2 linked regions of the Nothobranchius furzeri genome follow. The main gene of each other region encodes a partner of the protein of the gene in region 2 in a complex. Links are inferred from orthologs where the notes say so. Each region holds a gene or a part of one and is shown on either strand. Other genes may lie near its edges. The genes, in order: chrac1 and baz1a.

What was found.
Region 1: baz1a (region 2) and chrac1 share a complex: the UniProt entries of both Homo sapiens proteins name them as parts of the CHRAC ISWI chromatin remodeling complex. The link is inferred for Nothobranchius furzeri from reciprocal best matches to the Homo sapiens genes BAZ1A and CHRAC1.

Annotation. Positions count from the first base shown.
Region 1 is NC_091759.1:18,090,413-18,094,668, forward strand, and holds the start of chrac1 (chromatin accessibility complex protein 1), read left to right. Parts: upstream 1-1,423; 5' UTR 1,424-1,529; coding exon 1,530-1,682; intron 1,683-1,809; coding exon 1,810-1,936; intron 1,937-2,348; coding exon 2,349-2,434; 3' UTR 2,435-2,454; exon of another isoform or gene 2,455-2,573; intron 2,574-2,749; exon of another isoform or gene 2,750-2,840; intron 2,841-3,058; exon of another isoform or gene 3,059-3,150; coding exon of another isoform or gene 3,151-3,292; intron 3,293-4,256. Other genes in the region: gatad1 (GATA zinc finger domain-containing protein 1), read right to left, coding at 1-19; uncharacterized protein si:ch211-57n23.1, read right to left, coding at 3,151-3,292. UniProt on the Homo sapiens protein: Forms a complex with DNA polymerase epsilon subunit POLE3 and binds naked DNA, which is then incorporated into chromatin, aided by the nucleosome remodeling activity of ISWI/SNF2H and ACF1.
Region 2 is NC_091758.1:18,204,431-18,207,357, reverse strand, and holds the end of baz1a (bromodomain adjacent to zinc finger domain protein 1A), read right to left. Parts: intron 2,605-2,927; coding exon 2,517-2,604; intron 1,037-2,516; coding exon 861-1,036; 3' UTR 667-860; downstream 1-666. UniProt on the Homo sapiens protein: Regulatory subunit of the ATP-dependent ACF-1 and ACF-5 ISWI chromatin remodeling complexes, which form ordered nucleosome arrays on chromatin and slide edge- and center-positioned histone octamers away from their original location on the DNA template to facilitate access to DNA during DNA-templated processes such as DNA replication, transcription, and repair.

The sequences.
Region 1 (4,256 bases), on a different chromosome or scaffold from region 2:
GCTTCAAACCCAGAGGCATTTTACCGGCTAGAGAACGATGCCTCCGTACGTAAAAACGATCACAACAGAAACGCAGCTGCTTGGCTTATTACCAGATCACGACCGGATGTAGCTTTAGCATATTTCGCCAACGATTATCAAACAAAAATAACCGTAAAGACATCAAAAAGCCTTAAAACACAACGAAGTTAAAGCAGCATTATTTATGTACTGACTTGTTTCTACTTTCAGCGCGGAGGTTCTTCTTCAGCGTTTCCTTTGTTCTGAGGTCGGAAAACTATTGAAGTCAAGCGCCGCCTACTGGTGTGGAGGACTGCGTCGGGCGCTGGGCTGGGGCAGCTAAATGTGAGTCAGTATTTCCTTATTATCGTTGTTAAAATAGATATGAGTGCATGAACAACAACTTTGTGTTTTTTCAGGATTAAAATAATAAACTATTGATCACTAGTATCACTCATTCACATGTTTAAAAAGTTTGGATTGATATAGGAATTAACTTATTGAGTGCTGAAGCAGCGGCCTTCTTCTTCTTATCATTATTATTACAATGGGAGATAACCGTTTATTTGATTATTATCTGTTTAACAAAGTTGTTACTTTCCATGCCTTTGATTGTATCTTTTTCACTCTTTATTTTTACAGGTTTTTGCTGATTGAAAGACTGGCTTTCCCCACTAACAGACAAATAAAACGTCTTCTACTTTAAATTATTTAAATTATTAATATTTTTATTGTTAGTAGTAGCTAGTAGAAGTAGTAGAAGTAGTAGTAGTAGTAGTAGTAGTAGTAGTAGTAGTAGTAGTAGTAGTAGTAGTAGTAGGAGGAGGAGGAGGAGGAGGAGGAGGAGGAGGCAGAGTAGTAGTGGTGGTTGTTCCTGTTTTTTAATGTATTTCATATTTTTTACAGATTTCCTTAAAAGTTTTTAGAAAATTGGTATAATCCTTTGAGGAACTAAAATAATGTTAATTACTTTTGTTTACTTTTATAAACAATTCTGCAGTTTATTTTACTGTATTCTAACAAACACATTTTTACACTAGGACCTGTGATTCATGGAGAATAGAAACAAATGCAAACAAAATAAAAAGAGTTCCATTTCCTTTGCCTCACTATGGCAAAAATAATGATAGAGTTTATTCGAGATTATTCATTTGTATATTTAAGTATATTATATTAAATTATATTATATTAAATATAATAGTTTTAAACAAGCTGAAAGTTGTTTCTCTCAAGCATGGTTCTGTTTTGACCGTTTCCCAAGAGCTGGTTGGAATGATTGTCAGGTACTTTTTTAAAATACAAATATAGTATCAGGGTAAAATTTAATTACTATTTATTAAATTTAATCTAAATATACAGTGTTGTTTGAAATAACATCTTTTGTGCTGGGTTATACTCCTGCTTTCCAGCGGGAGGCGCTGTTTCAACGTAAAGACCACCAAAGAAATTGAAGACGGCGAAGAAGAAAGGCGTCACTCTTCAAAACAAAACTTAAAGTTCAGTCATTCTTGTCCTTTGTCCAAACAGAAATGTCTCGAAACAACCCAAACAAAGACAGCCAGACGCCGGACGCCAAAAAGTCCATCTCTCTCCCGGTGTCCCGGGTCAGACTGATCATGAAGAGCTCTCCGGATGTCTCCAGCATCAACCAAGACGCGCTGTTCCTCACCACCAAGGCTACTGTAAGCTGCCCTTGATGCTAATGTGGTTGTGTTTCTATTAGCGGGGGGTTAGCATAACTAGCTGGTGGTTGAACTAAAATCGTGTGAAGTTAAAATCGCTAAATATAGTTTTTAATCTGTTGTAAAGGAGCTGTTTGTGCAGCATCTGGCCCTGTCCTCCTTCAACAACGGCTCCGGGAAGGACAGCAACACCCTGGAATACAGCGACCTAGCTAAAACCACCGAGGAGAACGAGACCTTCCACTTCCTCACAGGCGAGTCTGGAGCTGAGCATCAGCGCGTCCTGAAGCCAGATTATTAGATACACTGGCCTTTATTGTATTTTAATGTTTTATTTATAAATAAGTGTTTTAATAAAGTCCCAGACACGAGGAAAATAGCAAAACGCCATTGGAAGCTAGCTTTTGGACCATTTAGGAAGATTTATTTTAGCTTTCCTGTATTTTACTGCCAAAAATGAAAGATTGGAATGAAACAGAATCAAACCAATAAAAAAAAACTTACAGATGAGAGAGAGAGCGATATGAATTTTCCACAAGAACTGTAAGCCGCTTACATTTATTTTAGCAACATGTAATTTTTGTGCCATTTGAACTTTATTTCTCAGAGAAAAGACCGATAATAAATAAAATTTATACTGAAAAACAGGTTTTTTTAATCTGACAGATATTTTGCCGAAGAAGATCTTGGCTCGAGATTACCTCAAGACTTTGGAGCAGATGCAAGAAGAAGAAGAAGAAGCTGATCTTTGACATGAAAGCCACTTTCCCTGGTGTGTGTGTGTGTGTGTGTGTGTGTGTGTGTGTGTGTGTGTGTGTGTGTGTGTGTGTGTGTGTGTGTGTGTGTGTGTGTCAGAGGAGACACTTATGGACTTTAGAGCTTTTTAAACACACGGTCTTGGAGAAGGTGGAGCTTAAATTGCCTCAGAGCTCAGCTCTGAGGAATTTAGACCAAATAATGGCAGTAAGCAAATAAGATATTTAACACTGGTTTAAAAGGCAGCACAGACCAATCAGTTCAGTTTAACATTTTAATTTTGGCTGAACACAGTCGGGGCTGTCTTTTAGGTGCTTCCACTTGCACCAGAAGTGAACCGTTACCTCCTAACAGACGTGACAAGCAGCTGGAACACAGACGTGACAGAAAACACGAGTGGATGAAAAACTTCATCCACCTGTAGAGAGGCGACGTGTTTAGATGAGAGACTGCGAAGCAGCGTTTGTGCCTCTCCAGATGTGAAATGCCACCTCAGCTTCACGTCATTTTCTTTGTTAAAATGTCTCAGAGGGAATCGTCGTTGTGAATTTACTCGTGTGTTTAGATTTGATATAAAATAAAGATGAATGCTAAAATAAATGCCTCTCGTGTCAAGATCCGATGTTTTATACTTTTATGATGTTTCACAAGCATGTTGCAGGGGATTGTGGTTGATATTTAGTTAGCTGCTGCATGAATGGAACATGAATCGTCAGCGTCGGGTCAGCTTCGCGAGTCGAAGCTGAAAATGAAACAGATTCTTCTCTAAAGTAGAAAAGTGACTCTCCAGGCTGTTCGCCGTGCGCGCTCTCCTGTCGAGACCGTCCCTCGTGTTGGCGAGATGATCGTTCAGCCTAAAGAGGACGAAACGAGTAAATATGGATAAGTTTGTTTTTAATCAAACAAACACATTCAGTTAACGACCTCTGATGTCCAGATGATGACTCAGCTTGTTTTCTACTTTTAGATCCATCATGTAATAATCCAGATTTCACGTGCCTCGTTAAGGATTCATAGCTAACCTCCACAGCTGACTCTGGATCAGTTTGTTCATGTAAAACAATCTGAACAGCTCATTTGCAAGAAATAGCAGATTTGTCTTTTTCAGCAGCCTGCTTAATCTCTTAATCTCACTCTTAAATTCTCAGTCTCACTATTTTAATCTCAATCTCACTATTTTAATCTCTCAGTATCACTCTTTCTTTCTTTCTCTCTCAATATCTCTCTTAATCTCTCAATCTCACTTTTAATCCCTCAGTTTCTCTGTGTCTCAGTATCCCAATCTCCCTCATAATCTCTCAATCTTTCTTAATCCTTCTCTCTCAATCTCTCTGTTATTCAGTTTCTCTCCCCCCCCCCTCAATATCACTCTTAATCTCTCAATCTCACTTTTAATCCCTCAGTTTCCCTTTGTCTCAGTATCCCAATCTCCCTCATAATCTCTCAATCTCTCTTAATCCTTCTTTCTCAATCTCTCTGTTATTCAGTTTCTCCCCCCCCCTCAATATCACTCTTAATCTCTCAATCTCACTTTTAATCCCTCAGTTTCCCTTTGTCTCAGTATCCCAATCTCCCTCATAATCTCTCAATCTTTCTTAATCCTTCTCTCTCAATCTCTCTGTTATTCAGTTTCTCCCCCCCCCTCAATATCTCTCTTAATCTCTCAATCTCACTTTTAATCCCTCAGTTTCCCTTTGTCTCAGTATCCCAATCTCCCTCATAATCTCTCAATCTTTCTTAATCCTTCTCTCTCAATCTCTCTGTTATTCAGTTTCCCCCCCCCCCCTCAATATCTCTCTTAATCTCTCAATCTCACTT
Region 2 (2,927 bases):
CCACAACTGTCTATTTTTTGCTCATTTTAAATATATTTTTAATCATTTTCTAAATTATTTTTATATTTTACATTTTTTGTTTTTGTGAGGCGCCTCGTGATTTTTATCTTGAGAGGCGCTATAGAAAATATATTTTCTTCTTAAAGTTTTGATAGTTGTTGAAATCCACACTTTTAGTTTGTACCTGGTTAAGAAAACAATCTGTTACCATGGTTTACTTTTTCATAGATGTGTAAGGAACCATCACAACCCGCTCCAGCAAAACACATCTTATACAGCTCATGGAAAGCCAAAAGCAAAAAGGAAACCGACTTACAGAAACTGGGCAGTGGCTATTTAGAAAACATTTATTTTAACACAAAGCTAGCAATCATAAATAAAAACAGGCTTCTACAAAATAAATACAAAAGGGAAATCAAAGGGAGTGGGGAGGGCTGCAGCAGGTCCAGTGTAGTGTCTACAGCTAATCCATCCAGAAAACACACACACACACACACACACACACACACGCACACGCACGCGCACGCACGCACGCACGCTCTAGGAAGCAGGAATTCAGCGAAATAAAAACCAGTGAAGACATCAACAACAGTTTTAGTAGAAAAAACATGAACCAAACAAAAACTACAAACCCCTGAGGCTAGAGAAAGAACATTTATCTGAACATTTACTTCATTAACTAACAAATCGCTTCCCTCTAGCTTTGTGTTTTCTCACACTAAACACATTTTCTTTAAGGGGTTTAGTCTGAAATGTGTTCAGAGAAAACAAACGTTTGTGAGGATGGATCAATGCGATAACGCTGGCAGAACAAAGTCCAACATCAGCAGCAGATGAACAGTAGTGAGGTCAACGTGAGGTCACTGTCGGGAGCGTTTGGCAGGAGGGGTGGTGCCACATTCTAATAGGCCGAGTCGGCCGAGCTCTGAGTGGAAGAACTGCTGCAAGCGATGTCCAGCCTTTGCCTCATTAGTGTGACGTTGATTATACTGGAGACAGTTGAAGAACATCAACTCCACATCGGAGATGTATTCACCTACAAACACCAGAAAGGGTCAAAGTTTCTTATAATCGCACACATCATCGCATTTCGTGGTCCTCTCTTTTTAGGACGCGTCTTGATTCGTGTTTGGTGCATTTCAGTTTGTGCGTTACATTAGTACCATGTAGCGGGGTGATGTGTGCACCGGCATGACTCGAGCAGAAGAAAGGACTTTCAGTGACTCAACTATTTGCCATTGATTCTCTGGCCTGGTTGATGGTTAGGCATGTAAGAAAATATTGATGTGCTGGAAATCGTGGTATTCTGCGTTATTATAAACTGACTGATATTTAAAAGCAGAGTATCCATGTTTTTATTTACAATTTACATTTAATGTATTTCTTTTTGTGTGGTGCAATTCACACTCCGATGCTAGGTGGCAGCAGTTCATACCGGTTGGTTTCCGGTTAACCGGCTGGTTAAAGAACATAGCCGGTTAAAGAAATGCCGGTAAACATGCATCCCTATCATCTGGCTTTTATCACAATACATCGTATCATCTCACCTGTATTGTGATGTACATTATGCATCACCAGATTTGCTAATGCACACCCCTATTGATGAGTTAGAAGTATTCCTTACCAGAGTGCGAATGTTAAATTAAATTAACCCAGTGAGACTATTTTGAGTGCATTTTAAAATTTTCTTAACTATTTCAGATTAGTAAGAATTCATAGACATGAAAAAAAAATTAATTTTCAAACCTCAGTAGTAAAAGCATCAAATAAACAATTTAATAATAATAATAATAATCAATCCACCTTTTCCTGAAAAACAACAAATCAACTAAATTGAGCAGAGTGAAACATGACCACTGGTCAGATTAGGTCACATGATGTAGATTTTGTTTTAACAGCTAACATTCTGACAGGCTCGAACAAAACAACACACATTACTCCTGTTCTGGCTTCCCTACATTGGCTTCCTGTGGACTGCCGGGCAAAGTTTTTTGTCTTGTTTGTCTTTCGGTCCATCAACGGTGGTTCCCCACCACATCTGGCTGGGCTGCTTCAGATGCATGCCCCTACATGCTCTCTTCGCTCAGCTAACCAAGATTTGCTCATCGTCCCAAGAACAAGGCTGAAAAAACGAGGTGATGGGGCCTTTTCTGTCCTAGCTCCAACACTATGGAACGAGCTTCCACTTGTCAAACAGTCCCCATCACTGCAGGTCTTTAAGAGTCGTTTGAAGACTTACTTATTTTATCGTTTGGCTTTTATGTAATATGAATTTTTAGAATTGTGGTCTCTTTGCTCTTTTGTTGTTTCTATGTTATGTTCAATGCAAGGGCAGTGGAAGGTGCTATACACATAAAATTTGATTGATTGATTGATTGTACCACGTAGGTCTAATATCTACTACAGTGTGTTAATAACTCATTTTCATTATTTATTTAAAAAATGCAATTAAAAAACTTGTTTTACTTTGTGAGTTATATAACAAAACCCCGAGCTGCTGATGAAGCGTCTCTCACCTGCAGTCTGATATTCACAGTTGTTGATCTTCTCTCTGATGGTGCTCAGAGCGATGGGCTTCTTGATGATGTCGTAGTAATCAGGAACCTGAACAGAGACACGGGTGAAACCTTATGAAGATAAAACATGGTGAAGGTTGAACTGAAAGAAGAAATTAGACAAATTAAAATATGATTAGTCCTAAAGGGAAATTAGATGCTTTCAGGGTTTCCGCTATATGTATTTAGCCGTTGCGCTCGATCCCTCAGTCTCACAGACTCAGGTGGCTGTGAAGGCGTCCACTTGTATGTTCTAGAGCTTCTGACACTGGAGGAACCAAAGAACATGGTCCTCACAGAGCAGCCTGTTTGGTCCAGGAATGTGAGGGGGTCTTCGTCTCAAACTGAGGATAGTACTGAAAGGTGCACGTT